Macaca fascicularis: one gene and its partners. The protein of the gene in region 4 purifies or fractionates together with the protein of the main gene of each other region. This does not show direct contact. Links are inferred from orthologs where the notes say so. Each region holds a gene or a part of one and is shown on either strand. Other genes may lie near its edges.

Region 1 (4,360 bases), on a different chromosome or scaffold from region 4:
GGAGGCTGTCCTTGGGCAGAGCTGGAGGGGGAATCTGGGGGCCGCTGGAGCCAGGAAGATGCAGGCGAAGGGATGGGCGCGATGGGGGAGGGAGATGGGGGGGTGAGTGGTGAGCTCCCGCCTGCATAAGGACAGCAAGCCTCCCCAGTGCTCTCCTCCTGGCCCAACCACGGATAGCCTGAGTCAAGAGAATCCCCTTCACAGTCAGACACCCAGCTTTGTCGCCGTGTGACCTTGGGCAAATGACCTCACCTCTGAGCCTCAATGTCCTCTTCTGCAAAATGGGTTAGTGATCCTGACTATGGGGCTGTTGATTCAGGATTCGGCGGGAACGCCCAGCACTTCCTGAGCACACAAAGAGTGCTGAGAAAATGGTAGCTGTTTTTTGCGATTATTGACCCGGGGCCTGATCAGCTCTGGCGCGACTCGGCGAAGGCGCGAGTCCTGCGGGTCCCATCCCTGCCTCCTGGAGAGCCAGGCTCCAGCGATAGAAGGCCCGGGCGTTGCTTGCTCGTCGCCTCCAGTGCCGCCGCGCCCCCTGGCGGCCGTCGGTTGCCATGTCAACGGAGGGTGGCGGGGACCGGGGGAGGCGGAGGCGGGGGCCGTTTTCTCCTCCCAGGGCCGGAGGACGCTCCCTCCGCGCCTCCCGCCTTCGCCTCTTGGGGGGGCACTCCGAGCCGGGGAGGAAGGGGCTCTCCGCGGCAGCCGGCATGTGGGGGTAAACTGAGGCACGCGGCTGGGCGCCCGCAGCCAGGTGCCGAGCGCGGGGCCCCACCTCCGAAGGCGGAGGAGGGGCCGCGGGCGGTGACGCGCCGAGGGCGGCCGGCGGACAGCGAGCGGGCGGGCGGGCGGGCGGTGGCGGCGGCGGCAGGTGCGGCCGCGGAGGGTGGGAGGGAGGAGGGCGGGGGCGGGCGGAGGAGGAGGGGAAGGCGAGGCCGGGCACCTCCCCCTTTATAACGCGCCCCCTCCCGGGCTCTCGGGCCGTCTCCTAGTCGGCTCTTCCCGTCTCGCCCCCTCGCCCGGCCGCCCCGGGCCCGGGCCCGGCCAGGGAGCCCCCAGGCCGCGGCTCGGGGGCTGCCCCCCCGCCCGCCGCCCCGCGCAGCCCGGCGGAGGCGGCGCCGTCGGAGGAGGAGGAGCAGGGCACTGCGGCTGGCCCCGGATCGGGCGCCAGAGCGGCAGCAGCTTCGGCAGCAGCGGCGGCCCGGGCCCATGCAGCGGGACGCGCCACCCCGAGCCCCAGCTCCGGCGCCCCGGCTCCCCGCGCCCCCGATCGGGGCCGCCGCCAGTAGTGGCGGCGGCGGAGGCGGGGGCAGCGGCGGCGGCGGAGGCGCCTCTGCAGCTCCGGCTCCCCCTGGCCTCTCGGGAACTACAAGTCCCAGGGGGCCTGGCGGCGGGCGGCGGGCGGAAGAGGCGGGGTCGGCGCCGCGAGGCCGGAAGTGGCCGTGGAGGCGGAAGTGGCGCGGCCGCGGAGGGGCCTGGAGCGCGGCGGCGGCGGGACCCGGAGCGGGAGCGGCAGCAGCAGCGGCTGGGGGCGGCGGCGGCGCGTTGGAGGCGGCCATGGCAAAGCAGTACGACTCGGTGGAGTGCCCCTTTTGTGATGAAGTTTCCAAATACGAGAAGCTCGCCAAGATCGGCCAAGGCACCTTCGGGTAAGGCTGGGCCCCTCGGGGCCGGGAGCCGTGGGCCTGCACCCCTAGGGCGGACGTCGGGATGCCCCGGGCCCCGCCCGAGTTGGTAGAGAAACCGTCTGTCCCCGGGCTTGCCCACTGGTCTTTAGGCCGCGCCGCACCCCGCCCCGGCCTGAAGGAGCCGGCTGGTGGGGAGGAGCCTGAGGCCGGTGGTGGGGGCGGGGAGGGGCTGCAGAGAGGCGCCCGTGAGGGGAACGGGATCTCTCCAAGAGACGCCCAAGTGAGGAGAAGGGACTGAGAGAAGGAAGCAGAAGCTCCGAACGAGACAGGGTGCCGGGTGGCGGGGTAGCCGCGTGCCCTGGGTACTTACCCCAGCCCCGCCCGGGAATCTTTTTGCTGCTGCCCCTCCTCCGGTAGTGGGGGAGGGGCGGGCCCTGCGGAAATCGCCTGATGAGCTCTCGGGTCTCCCTTTCCGCCTGCAGGGAGGTGTTTAAGGCCAGGCACCGCAAGACCGGCCAGAAGGTGGCTCTGAAGAAGGTGCTGATGGAAAACGAGAAGGAGGGGGTGAGTACGGATCGGGCGTGCGGGCCAGCCGTCTAACTGCCCAGGACCCCGGGTCGGTTTTCCACCCTGCTGCTTCTAGGAGTCTCAGGTTGAGATTTAATTTTTTTCGTAGTAGTTCAGAAATTTCCAGGGAATTTGGCCTCCACCCTAAAACTAAATGCTTCATTCTTAGGCAGTTATGGGTGAGACCGGGAGGGGGAGTTGATGCATGCATCGTGTGCACTTTAGTTCACGAAGTTAGGAAGCCTTTAAACACCTTTTTTTAGTGTTAAATTTTGCTTAATGTTAAAGAAAGATACATATGCATGCAAATTTTTGAAAAGTGACTAATACTCAGTTATTTAATGTGTTTAAAAGGAGCGGTCCCTCCACCCCATCTTAGCTCAAGTACAACGTCCCATAAACCTTCCTTTTCCTGATGTGCTTTAGCGAGGACATTTTTGAATCGTCATGTTTGTTGCCAACGAAACAGCCATAGAGCTGAAGTTTGAAGGCTGAAACCGCCGAGCATTTAGTGGCTAATAGCAAAGTATTGCTGTTTCAGTTTGTTGTCTCAAATTATCTCCTTGAAGTGTGCATGCTCCTACTATATCCATTTTACAGGCAGAGCTTCTGAGACAGCTGGTTTCAGAGCCCATGATCTTGCTCTGTCTCCCAACTTGCCTCTCAATATAGACCCCAGGGCTGGGCTCTGTACTGCGCTCACTCTTGACCACTTTCCCCTCTCTCCCACCCAGTTCCCCATTACCGCCTTGCGGGAGATCAAGATCCTTCAACTTCTAAAACATGAGAATGTGGTCAACTTGATTGAGATTTGTCGAACCAAAGGTAAGTTGTTTGGATCTTATGAGGAGATGACACTTGTAGCCTAAGGTTTTGTTCGTAAAGTTGGAACTAGACCCACCTAAACTGCCTCCTCTTAACTCAGATGGACCCATGGTGACTGCTTTCTCTGGTCCTCTTTCATCGTAGCTGGTGCTTCCTCGGGGTCTGCCCTGGCCCAGAAGAGGCACTCAGAAAATATTTGACCAGTGAAGGAAGGAACAGACAGATGCTCTGGAGGGCTTGGGTGCCCATGGGTTGGAGCAGGAAGAAAGAAACTGGTTGTGGGAAAGTGTGTTGGGTGTGGCTTTCTTGACTTTTTCTTCCTTGTATTCCTGCCTCAGCTTCACCCTATAACCGCTGCAAGGGCAGTATATACCTGGTGTTCGACTTCTGCGAGCATGACCTTGCTGGGCTGTTGAGCAATGTTTTGGTCAAGTTCACGCTGTCTGAGATCAAGAGGGTGATGCAGATGCTCCTTAACGGCCTCTACTATATCCACAGGAACAAGGTGGGGGCGAGAGCTGGGAGGAGGACCCAGGCTTGGGCTGGCCTTGGCTCCCACTCCCGGGTGGATATCACTGAAGGAGCCACTCTTGCCCTTCTTGCAGATCCTGCATAGGGACATGAAGGCTGCTAACGTGCTTATCACTCGTGACGGGGTCCTGAAGCTGGCAGACTTTGGGCTGGCCCGGGCCTTCAGCCTGGCTAAGAACAGCCAGCCCAACCGCTACACCAACCGTGTGGTGACACTCTGGTACCGGCCCCCGGAGCTGTTGCTCGGTGAGGACTCCCGAGCGGGCCGAGGGGGGTGAGGGCCAGGCATCTACCTGGCCCCCGCCCCCCCACTGCCAGGGCTTCTTGAGCTGCCGGCCCTGGGGCATTGAGTCTCAGGAGGCCTCCGGGCTCAAGGGGCCCTCCTGGTGCGCTCTTCTTCCCAGGGGAGCGGGACTACGGCCCCCCCATTGACCTGTGGGGTGCTGGGTGCATCATGGCAGAGATGTGGACCCGCAGCCCCATCATGCAGGGCAACACGGAGCAGCACCAACTCGCCCTCATCAGTCAGCTCTGCGGCTCCATCACCCCTGAGGTACGGGGTCCCGGTCCCCCGGCAGAGGAGTGGGGAGTGGAATGGAGGGAGCGCTCCTCTCTGGAAGGGAGGCTGGTTTGGTGACAGGGCCTGCCCTTGAGAGCCACACAGGCTATGCGCCAGTCTTGGTTCCATCAGCCATTCTGTGGCCTTGGGCAGAACAACTGAGTCAGCGCTGGGTTTCTCTTCTGTGAACCAGAAATGGGACGTATATCAGGGTTGGGCCTGGCATGTGGTATGTGCCAATCTGTGGCGG
Region 2 (3,712 bases), on a different chromosome or scaffold from region 4:
CCTTATAAACCGGCTTAGAAAAGCTGTTAGAATTTAGCCCAAATAATCCCTAAAGAAATGGGCCAGACAACAGTGATAAGAGTCAAATGATTTCTAAATGACAATTACTCTCCTACGTCTTTCATTAAACACCAGTACCTAGAAGAGGGAGGAAGCATATGCCCTGGATTCTGAGTTAGGCCCTCAGGCTGTGTCTTAAATCAGTAAGCTCTCTCTAGTCAGAGATTCAAATTCGTCTTAATGTTCACCAATCCCTTACCTGGAGGTGGGGTTGCTCTGCCAACAGGTGGGGGCGGAGTCCCCCGTCCTGGTGGGTACTGTGTTGGGGCTCCAGCAATGCTGGCGGTGGCAGCAACAGCAGCAGCTGCTACAGTGCCTCTTCCCTGTGGAGTCATTACCTGAGAAGGCAAGGGGAGAAACCAACAAAGTGATACATACCTTCACGTTATTCAAACACAGAAAATAAATGAGAAAAATGGCCAATTAGATACAAACAACTGTTGCAATGTTGTACTTCTCTCGTTATTCCCATGTTTTTTTTTTGAGACAGTTTCACTCTTGTCACCCAGGCTGCAATGCAATGGTGCAATCTCAGCCCACTGCAGCCTCCCACTCCCGGGTTCAAGCGGTTCTCCTGTCTCAGCCTGCTGGGTAGCTGGGATCACAGGTGCCCCCAACCAGGCCCAGCAGGTTTTTGTGCTTTTAGTAGAGACGGGGTTTTCACCATGTGGGCCAGGCTGGTCTCCAACTCCTGACCTCAAGTGATCTGCCCACTGTGGCCTCCCAAAGTGCTGGACTACAGGCATAAGCCACCGCACCTGCCTATTCCCATATTTTAAAAACTAATCTTAGTACACTGACATCCACAAAGCCCTTTGATCTTTTCAACTGAGGTATATCCAGGCATTCCGTTCACTCACCACTAGTGGCAAGTTACTCTTACCAAGAGTAACTCGGGTAATTTTAATCACCCAATGACCATTTTAAGTAGCTAGTTTTATTCCCTTCCTCCTGTATATCTGTCCGTTGGTTCCTCCTAGACCATATGCCCTTTACATAGTATGACATGTACACTCAGGTTTTTAAATCTCCTCGGCCTCTGGCTTAGTCACATTCTCCCAATATAAAACCCTCCGCTGGTTCCTCACCTGCTGGGACGGTCCCCCAACTCCTCGGACAGGGCCTGCCAATCCAGCAGGGGCCTGGGGAATTGGCACACCAGCTGGTACTCCTCTACCAGCTGCCCTACCAACCCCAGGGCCTCCAGCAGCTCCAGCAAGTGGTACCCGAGCAATGCCAGTCTGAAACAAGAAAATGTATAGCCTAAAATCAAACAATTTACAAGTTCTCAGTATTTTTATGCATCAGAGATCACTTCTCTCCACCATTTTCCCAGACATTTATCTCGTATTAGTTCTGTATCCAAATGAACAAGCAAGTATACCATGGAGGTATCTTGTGGATAAAATGCACATTATTTGTCAAATTGTGAAAACAGCTCTTTTATAAACATACCAAGCAAACATGAATCAGCAACTCCTACCCTCACCTAGGTAATGCCCAGCACACAGAATAATTCACCAAAAAACCCTTAATCCCAAATAGCATAGGCAACCAACAATTGATACTAAGTGCTTGGCACATTTGACAATCCATGTTAAACTGTGTCTGTGCTGTACTGTGATTTCAGACATCTCACATAATATGATGTCCTTGCAAATTAGAGTTCTGTCCTGCTCTACATCTTCCTTACATCTTTGGGGGGTGGCCCCTCCACAGTCATGGATACCAAGTTCTCCCCACGCAGCAACACCAGACCCAAAACCCGCTTTTCTTCACGCTCTGGTTGCTTCGCATTCTTTGGCCTACAAATCAGAATTAAATTTTAGTGAGATAATTTTAGTGACCCCTAGATTACTCACTCATCAAAATATTTATACAACCTCAAGTATCAATTAAGGCAACCGATGCTAAACAGATATTAAGTTATCACTGAAAAACAAACCAAAAAAAATCTGTAAACAGTTAATATAAAAGGGTAAATAGTAAAGCTGTTTTCTGATCTAACTTTAGTCTTTTACAGAATGTTCCTTTGATGTTAACACTACAACAAGACGAATTTCTTTTGTAAAACGCCTTTTAAGGAAAACAAAGTTGAAACTTCGGTTTCCATATTAAAATGGAAATTTCTTTAAAAAATTACTTAAATAATTAAATCATAATGACAGGATGACACAACTGAAATAATGCGAACAGTAATAGGCAAAGAGAGGATAACAAATAGCAACCATATCCCAACTCCTCAACCGTGAAGAGCAATTATTATTCTCTATTTCAACCCAGATTTATTCGGTCTAAGACTGCTGCAGAAGCCAACCAATTAATTAACAATAGCATTTTTCTCAATTTTAAAAATAAATATAACTTAATATTTTGAGCACTACACTTTTATTCCCAGTAATAAATCCATGATTGTCTCACAAACTTAAAAGAGTTTATATGCAGACTCTGACCTAATTCAGAGATCAGGTCAAGAGGTGAAACAATAGACTGGCTCTACCTTAGCTTCCCTACCTACCTCAGTTACCCTTGGAAATCCCTTACTCCAGCTCTGGCCTTCCTTTCCCACTGCCTCTGCGTCCAACCCCCATTTACCCAAATCAGCTTACTTGATCTTTCTGAACTCATCACAATCACAGAGGATCAAATTCATATGCTTGTCAAAAGCCTTAAAGGTGCCAATGAAGATTCGGCCATCTTGTAGGATACATCTCATTCTATAGTCAATGTGCTGCAGCATCTTGCTACTCTTGCCCACAGTCTGGAAGCAGTAAGACAAGAGTCATGTTCAGGTTGCCAACACCCTAGTCTTCTAATCTTCTGTTTCTTCTCCGCCCTTATATAATCCAAGCCTGGTTTCCTTAACTAAACAAATATTCTCTCCTACTTTTTCACCAACATTCTTCCATATTTAGTATGAGTCTCTGGAGGACCACGAAGGATTATGAAGTATTTTTTCACATCTCAAGAACCAATTTTCACCTCCTTAGGGGTGATTATTCTTCTCTTAGACAATGCATGCTGTAAACTGTCCACTCCCCTAACTAAACCAAACCACAATGATTAGGGTGTTCTCTCTCTCCAGACTGCTTTTCTCTGTACTATTAATGCCAAAACCCTTCCATTTTCAAAGTCCTCTTTATTTCTATTGTAATCTGACCTGAGAGTCCATCATCTGCAGGATAGTCCTTCACCACGGGTGGAATCATGACCAAATACTCCTGTATTTTCTCACATCATAAAACATTTCTCACGGCCAGGTACAGTGGCTCACGCCTGTCCCAGCACTTTGGGAGGCCGAGGTGGGTGGATCACTTGAGGTCAGGAGTTTGAGACCAGCCTGGCCAACACGGTGAAACCCTGTCTCTAATAAAGAGGCTGAGGCACAAGAATCTCTTGGACCCAGGGTTGTAGTGAGCCTGGGAGACAGAGCAAGACTCCGTCTGAAAAAAATAAAAAAAATCAGCTCATCTCCCGCTGATACTCAGTGCAATGAGAATCTATATCCATGGATGTATACTAACATTCAGAACCCAAAATCACTGCACATGCTGGCAAACTCTTTCTTTCAGCCCTTACATCACGTTTTCAACCCTCAGCCTTATTGTACAGCTTACCATGATTGCTGTTCCACCAAATTCAATGTCCACAG
Region 3 (4,302 bases), on a different chromosome or scaffold from region 4:
ACCTTTTCACTCTGGACAGGTTTTACATTTCAAGGGAGTGGGGGTGGGAAGGAATCTGATTTCAAGGTAACTTGATAAATTTACTCACATGTAATCTGCCTCGAAGCTCTCGGTCATTTCTCATCTTCACATAAATTCGCTCATCTAGGCTGAGCCTGATAAGATCCAGGGGCTCCTCTACAGTGTTGGTAGTTTGTTGCTGATAACAGAAACAGGTTTAGTAATATAGTACTAGAGATAAAGTAGTGCTTAAATCACTGCTATGCTGTATGACCATGTGCAAGTTATTTAACCTTTTTCTGCCTCAGTCTCCTAATCTGTAAAATGGAGATAATAGTGTCTACCTAATACTGTTTTTATGAGGCTTAAGTGACATATATGAAGGCTTAGAACAGAACTTTTCACATAGTATGTGCTATATAAATGTAGATTAAAACACGCATACATAAGAAGGAGTTACACAGCAAAATAATCATGACTATACTTTGTTCCCTCAAAATCCAAACTGCCTGACCCGATTTCAGGGTATAGGGTCTTAGGAACTTTAGCTTTATCTCAAATATTATGTAATCATAGGAAAAACACTCACTTAATGCCTACCATATACTAGTCAGAATGCCAAGTAGAGGTGTAGGTTTATGGGAAGATTATGAATTCAGCACAGGTTGAGGTTAGGCTGCCAACTGGCCAGTAAGATGAATATTTAGTAGCCAGAATAGAACACTGGTTCAAAGCACTGGCTTAGCCGGGCATGGTGGCATGCGCCTGTAGTCCCAGCTACTCCGAGGCTGAGGTGGGAGGATTGCCTGAGCCTGGGAGGTGGAGGTTGCAGTGAGCCAAGATGGTGCCAACAAGCAAGCAAGCACTGACTTTGGAGTCAGGCAGTCTGGGTTCAACTCCTGGCTGTGACCTGACACTTATGAACTGAGATTAAAAATCATGCCATCTGTAATTCTCAGATTCTTCATTTGTAATTGAGAAAGCCACAACCTTCCTTCTGGATTCTTATGAGGATGAAACTAGTTAATGCATTTAAAACAGTGCCAGGAAAGCAGAAAATATTAATACTTAGAAACGGTTCCTTTTGGCTGGGCGTGGTGGCTCAGGCCTGAATTCCAGCACTTTGGGAGGCTGAGAAAGGCAGATCACCTGAGGTTAGGAGTTTGAGACCAGCCTGGCCAACATGGTGAACCCCGTCTCTACTAAAAATACAAAAATTAGCCAGGCGTGCTGGCACGTGCCTGTAGTCCCAGCTACTTGGGAGGCTGAGACAGGAGAATCGCTTGAACCAGGAGGCAGAGGTTGCAGTGAACTGAGATCACGCCACTGCACTCCAGCCTGGGCGATAGAGTGAGACTCCATCCAAAAAAAAAAAAGAAAAGAAAAGATTCCTACTAATATTATATTATTAAAGAACTGCTGGAAACACTGGTTTTAGAGGTCAGGGCTAGGATGACTTGGGGTCACCCACATGGAAGGGAGGGTTGCAGCCATTAAAGAGTTAGATGATTCAAGGAGAGCTTCTTTAGTAAGCACACAAGGCCAGTGGAGGAAGGTAACTGAATTCGTAACAGGCGCTAAAGATTCAAAAGGCCCGATGAGAGAAAAAAAAATAACCTAACTCAACTGGTCCCTATGTCCCTCAGTTCAACAGGTGTTTGTTAAAGGATCTGATAACCAACTGTTAGATTACAATGATACAGAAGTCACAATCTCCACCCTCAAGGAGCTCATTCTAATGTGGATAGGCATATGAATAATTATAATACTGTAAGAATATGCACATGACAGAGCTCTACTGCTACCTAAGCCTCTGTCTGGGATGCCCACTTTCTGTTCTTTTTCATCCTGTAGCTTTATACATTGGCTTTTAAAAGAGGCCTCCTCTGATCATCTAACTCATTCACTCAAATATTTGTTGAGTATTTCCAGCACTGTTCTAAACCCCAAGGACAAAAGAATGAACAAAACAAAATGCCTACTGTTATGGCACTTACATTCTAGTCAGGAGAGATACACATTAAACAAAGATGCATACATTTAATATGAAAAAATAACGTTCTATGAAGAAAAATGAGGCAGGGTAAGCAGAGTAGGGGGAGTGCTATTTGGGCAGAAGTCCTCTCTGAGGAGGTGAGATTTCAGTAGAAAGTTTAAGTTGTAGCATGATCTCCAAAGATATTTGAGGAAGAAAAAGACCAGGTGAAAAAGCTTCTAGGACCATCTGTTATTCTGCATACCAGTTCCTTGTTTCCTTCATAGCACATCACAGTTCCTATAAATCTTACATATTTATATTTATCTGTTCTCCTCGCGAATATAAGCTCCAAGTCATGGCAAGGATCACTTATATATCGATGTCAGTGTCCCTGGCTCTTAGAACAGTGTCTAACCATACAAAGCTGATGTTCACTCTCTCTGCTGAATGAGTAAATAATTGTTGTGCTCAGTAATAACAACTCCTAACTTTATTATCTGGCTTTCTATTGGAATCCTGACAGCTCCGTGAGGTAGGCACGCATAATAATTTACAGATTTAAAAAAACAAAGCGAAGAGTGTGATGAATAGTCATCAGGTGGCCTTCTAACGGAAAAGACCTCAGGGCCTGCAGCAAAATTCGGACAGGGGTGTTTACGGAAAGGATGGGGCGGATTAGGCCGTGTGACTTGGAAAGAAGAGGCGCGACTGGCCATTTTTCCTGCGTTTGGAAAAAGCAGTTTAGTACAAGAAGCGGCGCCGAGCCACCGCCTTAAAATTCACTCACCTGGTCTACGTCGTCCGCCATGTTTCAAACCCTGCGCCCTTTCCCGCCTCTCGCGAGAACACAAGAGCAACGCCGAGCTCCGGAAACGTGATGCTACAATACACCGGAAATAGAAACCTGCTGTGCTCTTGCCTGCTTCCCGCGGTTTTTTAGTGGCCACGGGTATGGGGCGGAGCTTCCTTTGGGGGCGTGACTAGGCCTCCAACGAAGGGGCGCGGCCAGACGCGCCCGCCTCGGGGCGGGGCCTGCGTTCTAACGCATCGCGGCCTGGTGCGTCACTCGCGAAGTGGATTTTTCCCCGACAAGCAATATGGCTCGGAAGCGCGCGGCCGGCGGGGAGCCGCGGGGACGCGAAACGCGCAGCCAGAAGTCCAAGGCCAAGAGCAAGACCCGGCGTGAGGAGGAGGAGGGTGAGAGCGTGGCCCAGCGGGCTTCGCGGGAGACTCTGCCGGTGGGCGGAGGAGGCCCAGAGGCAGGGGCGGCGGGAGTCCAGACGCGGAGGCCGGGTGGAGGTTGCTGCGCGCGTTCCGCGCAGTGGGGGCAGCACGGCAGGCCGCGGCCGGCCCTCCCCGCTGTCCCTGCGCCTTTGTCCTCTGCACCCAGAGCGGCTTCCCGTGAGCCTCGCCCGACCCAAGCTCCTGCGTAGCTTCTTTCCCGCTCCCCGTTGTCCAGAGGATACAGCGCAGATGTTCAGGGTTGAACGCGGAGAAGGCAGTTATTTGTGTCCCAGGAAAACGGACGGACGGACCAGGACGTAGAGTGATGCAGTGTGCTGACTCCCGAATGATAACTTCAGCTGAGTCTCGCCCAGAGTTCCACAGTGGGATCCCACCTGACTTCCCCTCGTGGATATTGGATAGGCTTCTTACATTTGTCGTGGACAGTGCAGAGCTCATGGTCTTCCCCTTCAAATCTATGGTTTCCTCCGTTTTTCCAGTCCCAATACTTGTTATAAAACAAAGTCCACCTTTTTCTTATGTGCACACATCCAGTCCCGTCAGCAAGTCCAGTCAGTTCAGCCTCAGACTGTATTTCAAATTTGTCCACTTCTCTTCATTTCCATGGCCACAACCCCTGTCCAAGTCACCATCACCTTTCAGTTGAGTGACTGCAGTTTCCTCTTGACTGGCCTCCCAGCTCTGCATCCAGCAACGCAAATAATCTTTAAAAAAAAAAAAAAAATCATGCCATGCTCCTGCTTTAAACTCTCCTTGGTTTTCCATTGCTCTTAGTTTAAAACCCAGTTGTCTTATCCTGGCCTGCAAGATGCTACGTGTTTTGGCTCTTGCTACCTCTCCTGTTTCTCCTACCACTTGTTTCCTTGCCAGATACCCTCCTCATTGGCCTCCTTTCTCTTCCTCAAATATGCCAAGTTATTTCTTGAGCCTTTTCCTTTGATATTCCTTCGGCCTAGAGTGACCCCCCACCATGGCTTTTGCCAGGGCTGATTTCTTCAAATCTCAAGTCAGACATTCCTTGAGCAAACTAAGGTAGTCCTTCCCAGATACCCCGTGGATACTAAAACCTGTGATGCTCA
Region 4 (4,302 bases):
GAGTTCGAGACCAGCCTGGCCAACATGGAGACACTCCATCTCTACTAAAAATACAAAATTAGCTGGGCGTGGTGGTGGGCGCCTGTAACCCCAGCTCCTCAGGAGGCTGAGGCAGGAGAATCGCTTGAACCCGGGAGGCGGAGGTTGTAGTGAGCGGAGATTGCGCCACTGCACTCCAGCCCGGGCGACAGAGCAAGACTGTCTTTTAAAAAATAATAAAAAATAAAAGATAATTTTTAAAAAGCCCCAATCCCAAATGCACCTTGCAATCCAAAGGGAAGAAGTTTTGGGGAGAAGTTCTTCCCATTTGGGGGGTGCTCCCATTTTCCTCTCTCTTCCCTCACCCCTTATTCTCTCTCAGGGATAGGGGTTCAGTTCGGAGGTGTCCCTGAGCCACACGTCCTCGCCTCTCCCCGTAAACGGTGGCGTCCCCCTCTCTCTTTCCCGTTCCTTCCCTTCCTTCCTCCCACCATGAGGGAATCTCCCCTCCACTCCCACTCCCGCCAAGGCACCGTGATCCTCATTCTCACTCATATTGTCAGTGCCCGTCAGGAGACTGGGCTGTTTTTGTCTGTTTCTTGGGGACGACAGATTCTGAGGAAAAAGGGCCAAGAGCTGGTTGTCGCCCTGAGAAAGTTTCTCCTCAGGCAACGGGTGCCAGGACTGGCGGCGCCTAGCACCTTCACCTACAACCAGAAACTAGCCGGCTACCTTCAGGAGCAGGGAGGACCTAAAGGCGAGGTGCAAAACCAGCTGGCGCAGCGACTCCGCAAGCCTCTCACACCTCAACCCAGGTTTCCCGCCACCAAGAAAAGGCACGAGGACGTCCTGCGCGCTAGCTCCACCCCCGGGAGGCGCGCTCGCGGAGTCTGAGGCGCATGCGCAACTGGAAACAGCGTCTGCGTTTCCGCGGCTGAGGTAATTCCGCCATCTTTCACCCGAACGTCCCGGGAAAACTACAAATCCCAGAATCCTCTTTGGTGTCACATATTTTTAGGCGGCGGCCGCAGCGCCTGATTGTTCTTGAAGCACATCTTACTAACTTTTCTCTGTTTCAGACTGCCTTTTCCTCCCTCTTTCCGTTCCCTGATTCCTCCTCTTCCTGCTGGTCTCCTTCACGCCCTCACTTTAGGATTTTGAGACTTTCCGGGACCCCACTGTCACCCCTGTCACCCGCTCCTCGGCCCAGCACTCCGCTGGCAGGAAGACCGGGCTGCGAATCTCCCCGGGAAAACGCCGTAGATTCGCTTCTTCCTCATTGGCCGAAGCGGGGGGGGCGGGGCCCAGCGCGGACCGAACCCCCGTCCCCGCCCACACTCTCTGGTATATAAGTCGGCGCGGCGCCGCGGCGGGCGTTTGGGGAGGCCCGTGAGCTGACGGGCCAGTGAGCGAGCGTCGGGAATGGGCGGAGGCGTTGGGGTCCGGGCCGTGGGTGTGGAGGCGGAGAGGAAGGCGTGGTGTGGCGTCTCCAGGTGATTGCGATTGGGGGAAGGCAGAGGAACCAGAGAACGACTCAGCCGTTTCGGGGGAAGAGGAAGTTGGACAACACCGGCTGTTTTAGTGCTTTTTATTTTTCCCCAATTCAGCAGAGAATATTTTCGAGGGGGGTGAGTTATAATGACCTATCGCGTTTTACTGAGCCCAGTTCCACTCCTGCCCTTCCTCGGCTTTGTAGGGTCTCTCTGCTCCTTCGGAAGCGCTTCTAAGAAGATGGGCAGAGGGGGGAGGTGTGCTACCAACAGCTCATGAATAATTCATGAGCACCGCCCTTCGTCGGGAAGCCCTGCCCCTCCGGATCGCGCTGACGCACGCTGCGTTTACCAAACTTAAGGAAGCGACGTCACAGGCCCTACCCCTAAGACGGGAGGCGGGGCGCCACCTCCAGCACGTGCTGCCTGTACCCGCGCAAGCCCAAAAGGGTGTGCGCAGGCGCTGCTCACTAGGGGGAGGAAGGAGGCGGGGTGGGGAGGTTGTTGGATTTAGAGCCGGGTGGAGACCGCTGAGACTCATTCCTCAGGAACAAGGGTCGGGTGTCAAGGAGACCTTTTCACACCAGGTCCCGTCCCCCGCCTACGGTGGGTGGGATCGCGCGGCAGAGACAAAGGAGATCAGTAGGGCCGGACCTAGCTGCGCAGGGAAGTAGGGTGTCAGTTTGGGGTGGTGGGCTTTTGCGGGGGCTGTGTGGGGGGTTATATTTAAACTCCCAGAGCCGTTAAGTTGGTTCGTACTCCGATGCGCGCGCAACCAGGGTGGTGGCGGAGTGCGCATGCGTGGTTCCGGGGCGAAGGGAACGCGCGCTTGCCGTGCGCGCTCGCGGCGGGGTGGTAGTGGCGGAGGAGAAAGGGGTCGGCGCACGCGCGGTTGAGTGCTCGAGTAGTTCGGGTGTCGCGGGCATCTTGTTTTGGTCTCGCGGGCGAGTGGGGCGCACTTCGCGGGGAGGCGCTTGGGCGCGAGACTAGGCGAGAAGAGCAGAGCTGCGCGCGCACTCGGGAAAGGGGGGGAAGGGAGCAGGGTCCAGGCAGGGGGGGTTAAGCCCCCTGATCCCCCTCGTTACCCCGACTGGGACGGAATAAGGGGAGGAAATGATCGAGATGGCGGCGGAGAAGGAGCCGTTTCTGGTGCCGGCCCCGCCGCCGCCGCTCAAAGATGAGTCGGGCGGAGGGGGCGGCCCCACTGTGCCACCGCACCAAGAGGCCGCCTCTGGGGAGCTCTGCGGCGGGACGGAGCGTGGTCCGGGTCCTTGCGCGCCGTCTGCGGGGTCCCCGGCCGCTGGGGTCGGTCGAGAGAGCCCCGGGGCCGCGGCCACCCCCCCCGGTGGTCCCCAGGCGCAGCAGCACCGAGGAGGCGGCCCCCAGGCGCAGTCGCACGGGGAGGCCCGCCTGTCGGATACCCCGGGGCGAGCCGCTCCCCCGGACGTGGGGGAGGAGCGCCGGGGAGGGGGCGGGACAGAGCTGGGTCCCCCTGCTCCTCCTCGACCCCGCAATGGCTATCAGCCCCACCGGCCACCTGGGGGGGGCGGGGGCAAGAGGAGAAATAGCTGTAATGTAGGGGGAGGTGGGGGAGGCTTTAAACATCCGGCCTTCAAGAGGCGCAGGCGGGTGAATTCGGACTGTGACTCTGTGTTACCCTCCAACTTCCTCCTGGGGGGCAATATCTTTGATCCCCTAAACCTGAATAGCCTCCTGGATGAGGAAGTGAGCCGCGCCCTCAACGCAGAGACCCCTAAGTCATCCCCCCTTCCGGCCAAAGGGCGAGATCCAGTGGAGATCCTCATCCCCAAAGATATTACTGACCCGCTCAGTCTCAATACTTGCACTGATGAGGGCCATGTAGTTCTTGCTTCGCCACTCAAGACTGGTCGGAAGCGGCATAGACACCGGGGACAGCACCACCAGCAGCAGCAGGCAGCCGGAGGGAGTGAGAGCCACCCCGTGCTGCCCACAGCCCCTCTCACCCCCTCACTCCACGGGGAGGGCGCCTCACAGCAGCCGCGGCACAGAGGCCAGAACCGGGATGCCCCCCAACCCTATGAACTCAACACAGCCATCAACTGCAGGGATGAAGTGGTGTCTCCGCTTCCATCTGCTCTACAGGGTCCCTCAGGCTCCCTATCAGCCCCTCCAGCTGCCTCAGTTACCTCTGCACCCCCATCTTCCTCCTCCCGACATCGCAAACGTCGCAGGACTTCCAGCAAGTCGGAGGCAGGGGCTAGGGGTGGAGGCCAGGGTTCCAAGGAAAAGGGCCGAGGGAGTTGGGGAGGCCGTCACCACCACCACCACCCACTGCCTGCAGCAGGCTTCAAAAAGCAACAGCGCAAGTTCCAGTATGGGAATTACTGCAAATACTATGGGTACCGCAATCCTTCCTGTGAGGATGGGCGCCTTCGGGTGTTGAAGCCTGAGTGGTTTCGGGGCCGGGACGTCCTAGATCTGGGCTGCAATGTGGGCCATCTGACCCTGAGCATTGCCTGCAAGTGGGGCCCGTCCCGCATGGTGGGCTTGGATATAGATTCCCGGCTCATCCATTCTGCCCGTCAGAACATCCGACACTACCTTTCCGAGGAGCTGCGTCTCCCACCCCAGACTGTGGAAGGGGACCCGGGGGCAGAGGGTGAGGAAGGGACCACCACCGTTCGAAAGAGGAGCTGCTTCCCAGCCTCGCTGACTGCCAGCCGGGGTCCCATCGCTGCCCCCCAAGTGCCCTTGGATGGAGCGGACACATCAGTCTTCCCCAACAATGTTGTCTTCGTCACGGTAAGAGGGTCCAGAGGCTCTTGGAATAGGGGTCAGGTGTGAAGATGAG
Region 5 (3,712 bases), on a different chromosome or scaffold from region 4:
TTCCTGGCTCCACCACATTCTGGTTTGTAATTTGGATAAGTCCTTTATCCTCTGTGAACCTCAGTTTCCCTGATGAGCAAAACAGGATAATACCTGTCACGTAGTTTGAAAAGTTAAAGAAGATCATGTGTATTGATCCCTCATCTCATGTCTTCTGAGTTACCAAAGATACTGAGTCTTTTTTTTTTTTTTTTTTTTTTTGGAGATGGGGTCTCGTTCTGTTGCCCAGGCCGGAGTGCAGTGGCGCGATCTCGGCTCGCTGCAAGCTCCACCTCCCAGGTTCACACTATTCTCCTGCCTCAGCCTCCGGAGTAGCTAGGACTACTGGCGCCCGCCACCATGCCTGGCTAATTTTTTGTTTTTGTTTTGTTTTTTTTTTTTTTTTTTTTTTTTTTTTTGAGACGGAGTCTCGCTCTGTCGCCCAGGCTGGAGTGCAGTGGCCGGATCTCAGCTCACTGCAAGCTCCGCCTCCCGGGTTCACGCCATTCTCCGGCCTCAGCCTCCCGAGTAGCTGGGACTACAGGCGCCCGCCACCTCGCCCGGCTAGTTTTTTTTTTTGTATTTCTTAATAGAGACGGGGTTTCACCGTGTTAGCCAGGATGGTTTCGATCTCCTGACCTCGTGATCCGCCCGTCTCGGCCTCCCAAAGTGCTGGGATTACAGGCTTGAGCCACCGCGCCCGGCCAATTTTTTGTATTTTTAGTAGAGACAGGGTTTCACCGTGTTAGCCAGGTTGGTCTTGATTTCCTGACCTCATGATCCACCTGCCTCAGCCTCCCAAAGTGCTGGGATTACAGGATTACAGGCTTGAGCCATCGCACCCGGCCTTTTTTGTTTTTTTGAAGATGGAATATTGCTCAGCCACCACCCAGGCTGGAGTGCGGTGGTGCAATCTCGGCTCACTGCAACCACCATCTCCCGGGTTCAAGCGATTCTCCCGTCTCAGTCTCCCGAGTAGCTGGGATTACAGCACCCGCCATCATGCCCAGTTAATTTCTGTATTTTAGTAGAGATGAGGTTTCACCATGTTGGCCAGGCTGGTCTTGAACTCCTGACCTGAGATGATCTGCCCACCTTGGCCTCCCGAAGTGCTAGGATTACAGGCGTGAGCCACTGTGCCTGGCTGATACTGATTCTTTTGGTTAAATTTGAGTGATAATTTTCTTCCAAAACATCAGTTATTCCTCCTGTTCTTAGTGTAATGTGTACAATTCTGGCCAACGGCGGAAGCTATTACTGTTCAAGACCTTCTCTCGGAAAGTGGTGGTGGTTGTCCCTAATGAGGAAGACTGGAAGAAGAGGCTGGAATTGAGGAAGGAAGTAGAGGGAGATGATGTGCCTGAATCTATAATGCTGGAGATGAAAGGTGGGTGTCTTAGTCCATTTTCTGCTGCTATAACAGAATATCACAGACTTTGTAATTTACAAATGTAATAGAGGTTTATTTCCCTCATGGTTCTGGAGGCTGGGAAGTCCAAGAGCACAGCACTGGCATCTGATGAGGTCCTTTTTGCTGCATCATTCTGTGGCAAGAGGGCAAATGTGAGAGAACTTGCTTTTATAACAAAGCTGCTCTCACGATAACGGCATTAATCTATTCATGAGGATGGAACCCTCATGACCAGCTCACATTAAAAGTCCCACCCTTTCAACACTGCTCATTGGGGATTAAGTTTCCACCACTTGTACTTTGGTGGGACATAACTCAAACCATAGCAGTGGGCTAAAATTGTACAAGTTAAAGAGATTTTATCCCTGGTCAGTGCACACCTTATTGAAGCCTCTTAGCACCTGGAGTGACACTCTACATCTAAAATATAAATCTAAAGAGGAACTTAATGGTTACAAGCATTTGTAGGTGAATGAATGAGCAGAGAGAAGCAGTAACCCCTTGACTCATTGTTTTCTTGGTTTGTTTTGGTTTGGTTTGGTTTGGTTTGGTTTTGAGACAGAGTGTCACCCCGTTGCCCAGCTTAGAGTGCAGTGGTGTGATCTCAGCTCACTGCAACATCTACCTCCTGGGTTCAGGCGATCCTCTTGCTTCAGCCTCCCAAGTAGCTGAGATTACAAGCATGTGCCACCATGCCTAGCTAATTTTTGTGTTTTTAGTAGAGACGGTGTTTCATCATATTGCCCAGGCTGGTCTTGGAACTCCTGACTTCAGTTGATTTGCCTGCCTTGGTCTCCCAAAGTGCTGAGATTACAGGCATAAGCGGCTGCACCCAGCCGCCTTGACTCGTTTTGAAAAAGATACAGAAAGGGAAATAGTGAGCCGGGCGCGGTGACTGATGTCTCTAATCCCAGCACTTTGGGAGGCTGAGGCTGGTGGATCACAAGGTCAGGAGCTCACGACCAGCCTGACCAAGATGGTGGAACCCTGTCTTTACTAAAAATACAAAAAAAATTAGTCAAGCATGGTGGTGGGCACTTGTAATCACAGCTACTTGGGAGGCTGAGGCAGAGAATTGCTTGAACCCGGGAAGTGGAGGTTGTAGTGAGCCGAGATTGTGCCACTGCACTCCAGCCTGAACAGAGGGAGACTCCCATCTCAAAAAAAAAAAAAAGAAGAAGAAGCAAGGAAAATAGTGACTGTAGGGGGATTTAAACTCAACGGAGAGGCTTCTGTGAATCAGTTATTTGTTAAGTAAATATTTCTGGTACATCTACTGTTTGTCTATATTTCTTACTCTGCTTTTTTTTTTTTTTTTTTTTTTTCTTTTTTTTATTGAGACGGAGTCCTGCTCTGTCGCCCAGGCTGGAGTGCAGTGGCCGGATTTCAGCTCACTGCAAGCTCTGCCTCCCGGGTTTATGCCATTCTCCTGCCTCAGCCTCCCCAGTAGCTGGGACTACAGGCGCCCGCCACCTCGCCCGGCTAGTTTTTTTTTTTTTGTATTTTTAGTAGAGACGGGGTTTCACCGTATTAGCCAGGATGGTCTCGATCTCCTGACCTCGTGATCCACCTGTCTCGGCCTCCCAAAGTGCTGGGATTACAGGCTTGAGCCACCGCGCCTGGCTGCCTTTTTTTTTTTTTTTTTTTTTTTTTTTTTTTTTTTTTTTTTGAGAGTCTCCCTGTTGTCACCTAGGCTGGAGTGCAGTGGCACGATCTCGGCTCACTGCAACCTCTGCCTCACAGGTTCAAGCGATTCTCCTGCCTGAGCCTCTTGAGTAGCTGGGATTACAGGCACCCGCCCAGCTAATTTTTGTACTTTTAGTAGAGACGGGGTTTCGCCATGTTGATCGGGCTGGTCTCAAACTCCTGACCTCAGGTGATCCACCGCACCTCGGCCTCCCAAAGTGCTAGGATTACAGGTGTGTGCCACCGCGCCTGGCTGCAGGGAGAGATTATTGTGGTTCGAATTAAAATATAGCAGTTGGAGTGAATGATCTCATTGGTGTAACTTGATTTCTGGTATCACATTATGTTTATGTTTTGTTTGTTAATTTGGCTGAAGTCTGTAATGCAATACATAAGACAGTAATGTCTACACAAGAAAGAAATATTAATATTTTGATTGATCCTTCTACTATTCCGTTAAAATGTGATTTTTTTTCCCCTTGCTGCCTTTAGTTCCTGACATCCCACCTACTCTATCAACTGTTTGCTCTTCAAATTCTGATAATTCCCCAGGCATGGGAACTGGTTTGCACATCTATGAGCCAGATCCTCAGAGTTTACTCAGAATGAACTATGCCAGTCTATAACTCATACTTA
Region 6 (4,466 bases), on a different chromosome or scaffold from region 4:
ATCTTGCCAGCACCAAACAGTTATCAGACGCTGGAGCTGGGATATATCCGTTTTTTTTTTTTTTTTTTTTTTTTTTTTTTTGAGAAGCAGTCTTGCACTGTCGCCTAGGCTGGAGTGCAGTGGTGAGATTTAGGCTCACTGCAACCTTCGCCTCCCGGGTTCAAATCATTCTCCTGCCTCAGCCTCCCGAGTAGCTGGGATTACAGGCGTGCGCCACCACACTTGGCTAATTTTTGTATTTTCAGTAGAGACGAGGTTTCACCATGTTGGCCAGGCTGGTCTCCAACTCCGGACTTCAGGTGATCCGCCCGCCTTGGCCTCCCAAACTGCTGGGATTACAGGCGTGAGCCACCGCGCCGGCAAAGGAGCTGGGAAATATCTTGACAGAGGGCAGGAATTTGCTAATCTCTGCAAGTGAGGGGTAGTGGTGGAGGCTTTTCACACTCAAGGGGCAGTATTAGTTCACCCATTAGCAAACGTACTTAAAAATTACCTCTTGAGAGTTCCGCTGAATAAATGAAACAGTATATTTAAGTCAGTATTGTGCATGGGACATGTAAGCTCTTAATGTTATTAATTTCATTTTATTCCTTTAAGTTGGATCACTGCGGCGAAACGTGAGAATGTTTTCATGAATTTGGCTACACATTAAAGCGACCTCTCCAAATGGGTTGTCGTATTTTACATTGCTACCAACAATGTAACAGCCTTCTAGTTGCTTTATGTTCCCATATACGAAAGAGCCCCACCATTTGATTCTGTTTTTCAGTTTCTGACAACCTCACCTACTTTCTCTTTCAAGTTCATCTGCCCCATTTTTATTTTATTTATTTTTTAGACGGAGTCTCGCTTTGTCACCCAGGCTGGAGGCTGGGGTGCAGTGGCGCGATCTCGGCTCACTGCGACCTCCGTCTCCCGGGTTCAAGCGATTCTCCTGCCTCAGCTTCCCGAGTTCCTGGGACTACAGGCGCACGCCACCACGCCCGGCTAATTTTGTATTTTTAGTAGAGACCAGGGTTTCGCCATATTGACCAGGCTGGTCTCGAACTCCTGACCTCGTGATCCGCCTGCTTCGGGCTCCCAAAGTGCTGAGATTACCGACGTGAACCACCGCGCGCGGTCCATCTGCCCCATTTTATATCACCACTGCAGTCACAAACTAAGTTCTCCTAAGAACCACCAAGCGGCGCGTGGGCGGGCGCCTCATACCACTACAATTGCGACCTCACAACCTAACCCCGGGCGCCAACGCTCAATCCGGTTCTCGCGGGAAGATTCATGGTTTTTAAGCGAGAACTTCTAAGCCCACGCCACCTCCCAAGGGTCACGTGACGCGCCTGCGTCCTCGCCTCAAGGTTTTTTTCTCGTCGCATATTGGCTGTTAACTCGGCTACGGGGTGTCGCGAGGTGCATTCCGGAAGTAGGTCCTTTGACTTTTGCTTTCTTTACGGAAGAGAGTCACAACCCGGCGGTCGACGCTTAGCGGAAGTTCGTCAAGTCGCAGTTGCCCCCGCACAGCGGATGTGGGTCGCTACTTAGGTGACGCTGGGAAGTGTTTGCAGCCTCCGCCGCTGCCTTCTGGTTGAAGCATTATGGAGGGAGACAGGAAGAACAACAACAAACGGTGGTATTTCACTCGAGAACAGCTGGAAAATAGCCCATCCCGTCGATTTGGTGTGGACCCAGATAAAGAACTTTCTTATCGCCAGCAGGCGGCCAATCTGCTCCAGGACATGGGGCAGCGTCTTAACGTGTATCCTTGCGGCCTAGGCCTTCGGCCTTTGAGTTGGTCCCGCCATGCTCTGGCGTCTAGGTCTCAGGCTCTGGTGGGGGACGAAAGTGGGGAAGAAGGTGGGCAGAAGCTGGATGTCTAGTTGGGAGAGCCCACGATGGGGCGGGCTGAAACTCAGTTCGCGCTAGGGAAGCGAGGCGGAGTTGATTTCCCGCTCGCTCACCCGTGCCACCAACCTTGCTGGGCATTCGTATCCTTCCCGGCTTCGTGTTTTAACCAGCCCTTCCAACTCTCTCTTCATTGTGTTCTGATCGGCTCTGGTGACGTTAAGTTTCTCATTTTCCGCTGTGCCCTAGGGGTTTGGGTCTGGCAGAGGTTTCTCTGTTGAGGGCTGCTTCCGAAACCTAGTGTGTAAATTTCGAGAAATTCAGTACCTGAAAGTCTTATAAAGGGTGGTCTAGAATTAATGCCTCAGCCTTGGTCCAAAATCCATTCCTCATCTGCTAGCTGTTTAAGTGACCTGTCAAATTCTTGGTCGTCTTGTCTATAAAATGGGATGATACCTCTTGTGTTTGATTCTGTGTCCATCACAATGCTTTGCATTAAGATGCTCAATTAGTAGCTGCTGTTTTATAGAATTTCAGAGGAAAGATGTTAGTTTACGTTTGTAGGGGTTACCCACGAATCTAATGTTTTAAATCGTTTACAAAATACTGGGTCCTTAAGTTACTTAGAGTGGTGGTGTGTATTTCATTTTCTTTCTATTTCAAAAATGAGGTAACGGCCGGGTGCGGTGGCTCACACCTGTAATCTCTGCACTTCTGGGAGGCCGAGGCGGGTGGATCACCTGAGGTCAGGAGTTCGAGACCAGCCTGGCCAACATAATTAAACCCCTGTCTACTAAAAATACAAAAAATTACCCCGGCTTAGTGGCGGGCAGCTGTAATCCCAGCTAGTCAGGAGGCTGAGGCAGGAGAATCGCTTGAACCCGGGAGGCGGAGGTTGCAGTGAGCCGAGATCGCGCCACTACACTCCAGCTTGGGCAACAATAGTGAAACTCCGTCTCAGAAAAAAAAATTAAAAAAAAAATGAGGTATCCTCTCCCACATATTTTTGTTTGTCAGGAAATATACTTATTTTGTGGTGGAGAAAACTTGTATAGTTTTAAAGTTCTTTCCACTCTGTGTATGAAAATTTTCTTGGGTGCAGCTTCTATTTAAATGTGTGGCTGACAGTAATGTTTGTATCTTAAGGGTGTGTGCATCTCAAAATGGGTGTCTTTTTTATCGCCAGTTTGTTTCCTGCTGATGTCCAGATGTGTTTCCTAAGCATCCTATCAGTACGGAGTAAATCTTTTTGTTCGAAATTCTATTTCAGTGTATCCTTAAAACGCTTTCCTTTTTGTATGTGTGTTGTCATTAAGGTTGTCAGCCAGGCGCGGTGGCTCGCACCTGTAATACCAGCACTTTGGGAGGCCCAGGCGGGTCGATCACTTGAGGCCAGGACTTCAAGACCAGCCTGGCCAAAATGGTGAAACCCCGTCCCTACTAAAAATACAAAAATTAGCCATGTTTGGTGGCGAGTGCCTATAATCTCAGCTACTGGGGAAGCTGAGGCAGGAGAATCGCTCGAATTTGGGAGGCAGAGGTTTCAGTGAGCCAAGATGGTACCAGTGCACTCCAGCCTGGGCGACAGAGCGAGACTCTGCCCCCTCAAAAAAAGGCTGTTGTAATTTGGGACTGCATCATCTCTCTACCCCATATTGTCTACTGAAGTTTTTAGAAGTAAGGCATTTACAAGTTTTTTCTTCTTCTTCAGTTAATGAATTATCAGATCATTTCAGATGTTTCCTGTCCCGTGGATCACCACATGAGAAGGCTTGGTTGCCAGAGAGAAGTGGAACTGAAAATAATTTAGGCCGATTGTGGTGGCTCATGCCTGTAATCCCAGCACTTTGGGAGACTGAGGCGGGCGGATCACTTGAGGTCAGGAGTTCGACACCAGCCTGGCCAACAAGGTGAAACCCCATCTCTACTAAAAATACAAAAATTAGCCAGGCATGGTGGCCCAGCCGGTAGTCCCAGCTACTTGGGAGGCTGAGGCAGGAGAATTGCTTGATCCCAGGAGGTGAAGGTTTCAGCGAGCTGAGGTTGTGCCACTGCACTCAGCCTGGGTGACAGAACGAGACTCTGTCTGAAAAAAAAAAAAAGAAAGTAATTTAGTTGATGGAGTTTAGCAGGTGAGAGAGGTAGTGGAGACATACCTATGGGCCAGATCAGGGTGGGCGCTGTAAATCATATTAGATTATAGATATCTGCCACCATGCCTGGCTAATTTTTGTGTTTTTAGTCAAGGAGGGGTTTCGCCATGTTGCCCAAACTGGTCTCAAACTCCTGACCTCAGGTGATCCACCTGCCTCTGCCTCTACCCAAAGTCCTGGGATTACAGGTGTGAACCACCGTGCCCAGCCAGGCCTTATAAATTGGTTTTTTTTTTTTTTTTGGAGGTGGAGTTTTGTTCTTGTTGCCCAGGCTGGAGTGCAATGGTGTGATCTTGGCTCTCCGCAACCTCCGCCTCCCGTTTCAAGCGATTCTCCTGCCTCAACCTCCCGAGTAGCTGGGATTACAGGCATGCCCCACCACGCCCAGCTAATTTTCTATTTTTAGTAGAGACGGGGTTTCTCCGTGTTGGTCAGGCTGGTCTCGAACTCCTGACCTCAGGTGATCTGCACCCC
Region 7 (4,436 bases), on a different chromosome or scaffold from region 4:
AGAGTCCCAGTTACTCAGGAGGCTGAGGGAGGAGAATCACCTGAACCCAGGAGGCGGAGGCTGTGGTGAGCCGAGATCGTACCACTGCACTCCAGCCCAGGTGACAGAGCAAGACTCTTCTCAAAAAAAAAAAAAAAAAAATCCCAATTGTATCTAAAGATACAATTGGCCAGTGATTGGGAAAGCCAGATCTAAGAGCCACATATCCTGTACATTTTAAATATGAAAAATACAAGCAATACATTTGTATCAATTTAAATCACCTTCCATCTAGCTCTCGGACCGCATCAGCTGCATCTCGGGGATCTTCAAATTCAACAAAAGCAAAGCCGGGTGGGTTTCTAGCAACCCACACACTTCGGAGTGGTCCATAGTAGCCAAAAGCCCGTTCCAATTCGGTCTTGTTGCCATTGTTTCCAAGATTGCCTACATAAACCTTACAGTCCAATGGACAGGAATCACGATGCATTTCTGTAATGAAAAATACCAAAAATATTCATTTATCTAAACATCTACAGTTAAAACCACAGATCCTTAGAAAGAATTCCATTATGGTGCACAAAAGAGTTTAAGGTAGCATGTAAAGAGAAAAAAAAACTTAATTCCAAAATGCTAGAAACAAACAAGAAATGTTACTGCTAAGCACCTGTTCCCCCATAACTTTTACTCTCCTGACCCTCAGGAAGCCAGCAATTAGTGAAGGAAAAAACAGCTTCCTTGGAACGTGAGAACACTGGAGGAGCATTTACCATCATCTGGGCCGTGAGTTAAAGACTTAACCTGTTATTTTATTTAATCCCCCAAATAAAGCATTTCTAGAAAAGTATAAAAGAGTTCTGTTGGGGACTCAAAACCAAATACAACAATGATGAAGAAAGCTAGTCCTTTAGGTTACACTACCAGAAAAGGGATTCAAAGTGCCTACATAAGCCAAAACGTATCAGCTTTAATAAAAAGCCAACTTTTCATTTAAAAAAAAAAAAAAGCCCATGGACCGGGCTCACGCCTGTAATCCCAGCACTTTTGGGAAGCCGAGGCAGGCGGATCACGAGGTCAGGAGTTCGAGACCAGCCTAGCCAATATGGTGAAACTCCGTCTCAACTAAAAATACAGAAATTAGCCGGGCATGGTGGCAAACACCTTTAGTCCCAGCTACTCGGGAGGCTCAGGCAGAACAATCGCTTGAACCCGGGAAGCGGAGGTGGCAGTGAGCCAGATCGCGCCACTGTACTCCAGTCTGGGCGACAGAGCGAGGTTCCATCGTCAAAAAAATAAATAAATGCATGCCTATTTTGGTCATTTGAAATCATAGGAACAAGGCTGCTATCACATGTCATTAAATAGACCAAAGTCTTATGCAGTAAGAATTTCTCAAGCAACGAGACCAACTTTCCAGTTTTTTTTTTAAACGTAAGCTCATAGCAGCACTTATTCACAGTAGCCAAAAGGTGTTAACCCAAATGTCCATCAACAGAAACGGATAAGCAAAATGTGGTATAGACATAAAATGAGTATTGTTCAGAATGATGTACTGACAAATACTCCAACGTTGGAAAATCTTGAAAACATTACGCTAAAGAAGCCAGACATAAAAATACACGATTCCATAAATACTAAATATCTAAAATAGCTAAGTTCAGAGAGAGAGATTAGTGGTGGCTAGTGACTGGAGGAAGTGGGACAGGGAAACTGGGAGTAAGGGCTCAATGGGTAGGAGTCTCCTGGGGGCGGTGGGGGGTGACGGAAATGTTTTGGAACTACGTGTAAGTGATGATTACACAACACTGATTATACTAAATACCACTTTGGGATAATTTTACTTTAATAAAAAGTTACAAAGAGGTATTTGCTACTCAAAAATTCACTGCACTTTGGGGACTTATTTTTTTGTTTTTCCTTGGCGGACTTACATTTGATTAAGCTTTATTACTTAGTCGTCACTTCGGCGATGAATCTGATAAACTTGTAGACCAGTTTCAATTACATAAAAACCATATACTCAATAATTTAGCTGAAGTGCTTTCCATAAACACCACGTTCTTACTCTGGGCTTGTCTAATTAAAATATCCAGTCCAGACACATCCTACTTGCTGTGACCACACCCTGTGCCCAGGAGTTCTAAGATAAAACCACTGGTGAAAATCTTTAAAAACACTGCTGGCATCTGTCTTAAGCCTACATTTTAATGGGAGGCGGCTGAAAGAACGAATCTTAATAAGTTCAAGGAAGATCGTTCGGTCTTAGAAAAAAGTGATTAGATTCAGGCTGCAAAAACTGAAACTACATGAAAGTAAAAGTGATTACGGGGGCCATTTAACATGAATTAGAAGGTCCAGTCTTGGTTAGTGACTTTACAAAAGCATTCCGAGGAGCTTCCCAATTAAATGATGGGCCCAAAAAAAAGGCGCCATAAACATAAAAAGGCTGCGACCTGGAATACAACTCGGCTATCGGTCCCCTTTGTGGCTCCCAACTCCCGGGTAACCCCCTATCCTGGCTCATCACCCACTGAGGAATATAAACACCTCCACCCCAAGACTAGGAAACCCTCTGATGGGCCGGGAACCCCCGCCACCGCCCCGTGCTGAACGTCACAAAATGGCGGCGGCGCCTCTTTGTCTCAATCTGGCGCCGCCATTGGGCCTGGCTCCTCCTTGGTACGGTTAAACTCCACTTCCACCTCACTCCCTCTTTCGCTGGTCTCTTACCGAGATCTAGGGTTAAGAAATGCAGCGGCTCAAATCCACACGCTCCGATGGGTCTTCCTGCTTTCCTCCGACCCAACACCCACCAAAGCTCTCGCTCACCCGGCGTCCACGAAATGGCGGACCACCGCTTTCTCCTCGCCTTTATTTATACGCCATACTGGAATCACATGATTGGACGGACTCGCCCAATGAGAAGCAGAAGAGGCCGTGACGTAGTGGCTACAAACGCAGCGAGAGCCGCGGTTGCTGGGAGCGCGCTCTGGCGGTTGCGCCGGGTGGGTGGAGAAGTGCGCCGGCGCGCGCGCTCGTTGTAACAGGCCTGGCGCTCCCTCGAGCGTTCTTCCTAGTGTGTCGACCTTCAAGTTACCCACAGACCCCTCTTCCTAACCTCCAAATGGGCTGGGACTTCATAAACAGCACCGTCCCCGTCACGCCCAAACACTAATCGGAGCCGTTGGCTCCTAACAAGATTAAGAGATGAATTAATTAAGTGCTTCATCCTTGTGAGCGGTTAGGCTGGACCTAAGAGCATCGCGTTTACAAACAGGTCACGGAGCTGTTTGTGACCCAGCTGGCACCAGACTGTGGCCGCCTAGATTCCACCCTGAAGGAAAAACCTGGTTTGAAAAGTTTGCCCAACTCTTGCTGGTTTCTCGCCTCTCACGCAAACTTGCAGGACTTGGCGCTGACAGCAAAGGAGACCGGTCAGGTGACCTGGAAACTATCACCTTTAGCAAACACCGGGAAAAGGAAGTTTCTGAAGAAGATTGAATGTAAATTGTGGGCCCCCAAGCGAATGCCGGGAGGGGTATCTCGGGCCTTTCTCCTAGCAGCCCTTGCACTGCCTGGCATGTATTTTGTCCGGACCACTTCCCTTAGGAACACAGAGCCACAAGAATAATTAACTCTAAGGGGAGAGAGACTGTGATAAGCTTAGAAAAATCACCAAGGGCCGGGCGCCGGGCTCACGCCTGTAATCCCAGCACTTTGGGAAGCCGAGGCAGGCGGATCACTTGAGGTCAAGAGTTCAAAACTAGCCTGGCCAACATGGTCATTAGTTCAAAACCAGCCTGGCCAACATGGTGAAATCCCGTCTCTACTAAAAATACAAATATTGGTCGGGCGTGGTGGCGGGCGCCTGTAATCCCAGCTACTTGGGAGGAGAGCAGAAGAATCACTTGAACCCAGGAGGTGGAGGTTGCTGTGAGCTGAGATCCTCCCACAGCACTCCAGCCTGGGCCACAGAGCGAGACTTCGTGTCAAAAAAAAGGAAGAAAATAAAAATCACCAAGATTTCCTGAACAGTTCAGCTAGTCTCCTGCCCCCAAATATACCCCCACCCTAAACCCCTTTCAGTCTAGTCTGACGTATTGCTAAATTTACTTGTTATATCTGCTCTAAAAAAAAAAAAAAAAAAATGAGAAAAAGGCTGGGTGTGACGGTTCACGCCTGTAATCCCAGCACTTTGGGAGGCCAAGGCGGGCCCATCACCTGAGGTCAGGAGTTCAAGACCAGCCTGGCCAATATGGTGAAACCCCATCTCTACTAAAAACACAAAAATTAGTCCGGCGCGGTGGCACACACCTGTAATCCCAGCTACCGGGGAGGCTGAGAGAGGAGAATTGTTTGAACCCGAGAGGCAGAGGTTGCAGTGAGTTGAGATCATTCCATTGCACTCCAGCCTGGGTGACAGAGCGAGACTCCGTCTCAAAAAAAAAAAAGAGAGA

Evidence for each region.
Region 1: the proteins of MEPCE (region 4) and CDK9 purify together in Homo sapiens (affinity purification with mass spectrometry; 10 studies listed by BioGRID and IntAct, counting the BioPlex papers as one, with this or other methods). This does not show direct contact. The link is inferred for Macaca fascicularis from reciprocal best matches to the Homo sapiens genes MEPCE and CDK9.
Region 2: the proteins of MEPCE (region 4) and SNRPN purify together in Homo sapiens (affinity purification with mass spectrometry; 3 studies listed by BioGRID and IntAct, counting the BioPlex papers as one, with this or other methods). This does not show direct contact. The link is inferred for Macaca fascicularis from reciprocal best matches to the Homo sapiens genes MEPCE and SNRPN.
Region 3: the proteins of MEPCE (region 4) and LSM3 purify together in Homo sapiens (affinity purification with mass spectrometry; 3 studies listed by BioGRID and IntAct, with this or other methods). This does not show direct contact. The link is inferred for Macaca fascicularis from reciprocal best matches to the Homo sapiens genes MEPCE and LSM3.
Region 5: the proteins of MEPCE (region 4) and HNRNPUL2 purify together in Homo sapiens (affinity purification with mass spectrometry; 3 studies listed by BioGRID and IntAct, with this or other methods). This does not show direct contact. The link is inferred for Macaca fascicularis from reciprocal best matches to the Homo sapiens genes MEPCE and HNRNPUL2.
Region 6: the proteins of MEPCE (region 4) and CCNT1 purify together in Homo sapiens (affinity purification with mass spectrometry; 3 studies listed by BioGRID and IntAct, with this or other methods). This does not show direct contact. The link is inferred for Macaca fascicularis from reciprocal best matches to the Homo sapiens genes MEPCE and CCNT1.
Region 7: the proteins of MEPCE (region 4) and SRSF3 purify together in Homo sapiens (affinity purification with mass spectrometry; 3 studies listed by BioGRID and IntAct, with this or other methods). This does not show direct contact. The link is inferred for Macaca fascicularis from reciprocal best matches to the Homo sapiens genes MEPCE and SRSF3.

What each region holds. Positions count from the first base shown.
Region 1 is NC_088389.1:16,210,961-16,215,320, reverse strand, and holds the start of CDK9 (cyclin-dependent kinase 9), read left to right. Parts: upstream 1-1,442; 5' UTR 1,443-1,557; coding exon 1,558-1,649; intron 1,650-2,110; coding exon 2,111-2,192; intron 2,193-2,929; coding exon 2,930-3,020; intron 3,021-3,358; coding exon 3,359-3,525; intron 3,526-3,625; coding exon 3,626-3,797; intron 3,798-3,955; coding exon 3,956-4,104; intron 4,105-4,360. UniProt on the Homo sapiens protein: Protein kinase involved in the regulation of transcription.
Region 2 is NC_088381.1:4,135,419-4,139,130, forward strand, and holds part of SNRPN (small nuclear ribonucleoprotein-associated protein N), read right to left. Parts: 5' UTR 3,681-3,712; coding exon 3,678-3,680; intron 2,822-3,677; coding exon 2,670-2,821; intron 1,866-2,669; coding exon 1,754-1,865; intron 1,302-1,753; coding exon 1,149-1,301; intron 399-1,148; coding exon 260-398; intron 1-259.
Region 3 is NC_088376.1:152,442,821-152,447,122, reverse strand, and holds the start of LSM3 (U6 snRNA-associated Sm-like protein LSm3), read right to left. Parts: upstream 2,828-4,302; 5' UTR 2,787-2,827; coding exon 2,766-2,786; intron 200-2,765; coding exon 89-199; intron 1-88. Other genes in the region: XPC (DNA repair protein complementing XP-C cells), read left to right, coding at 3,076-3,175. UniProt on the Homo sapiens protein: Plays a role in pre-mRNA splicing as component of the U4/U6-U5 tri-snRNP complex that is involved in spliceosome assembly, and as component of the precatalytic spliceosome (spliceosome B complex).
Region 4 is NC_088377.1:49,007,532-49,011,833, forward strand, and holds the start of MEPCE (7SK snRNA methylphosphate capping enzyme), read left to right. Parts: upstream 1-1,354; 5' UTR 1,355-2,582; coding exon 2,583-4,253; intron 4,254-4,302. UniProt on the Homo sapiens protein: S-adenosyl-L-methionine-dependent methyltransferase that adds a methylphosphate cap at the 5'-end of 7SK snRNA (7SK RNA), leading to stabilize it.
Region 5 is NC_088388.1:11,332,012-11,335,723, forward strand, and holds part of HNRNPUL2 (heterogeneous nuclear ribonucleoprotein U-like protein 2), read left to right. Parts: intron 1-1,197; coding exon 1,198-1,366; intron 1,367-3,712.
Region 6 is NC_088385.1:55,529,605-55,534,070, reverse strand, and holds the start of CCNT1 (cyclin-T1), read left to right. Parts: upstream 1-1,534; 5' UTR 1,535-1,592; coding exon 1,593-1,753; intron 1,754-4,466. UniProt on the Homo sapiens protein: Regulatory subunit of the cyclin-dependent kinase pair (CDK9/cyclin-T1) complex, also called positive transcription elongation factor B (P-TEFb), which facilitates the transition from abortive to productive elongation by phosphorylating the CTD (C-terminal domain) of the large subunit of RNA polymerase II (RNA Pol II).
Region 7 is NC_088378.1:135,078,006-135,082,441, forward strand, and holds the start of SRSF3 (serine/arginine-rich splicing factor 3), read right to left. Parts: upstream 2,828-4,436; 5' UTR 2,710-2,827; intron 472-2,709; 5' UTR 470-471; coding exon 264-469; intron 1-263. UniProt on the Homo sapiens protein: Splicing factor, which binds the consensus motif 5'-C[ACU][AU]C[ACU][AC]C-3' within pre-mRNA and promotes specific exons inclusion during alternative splicing.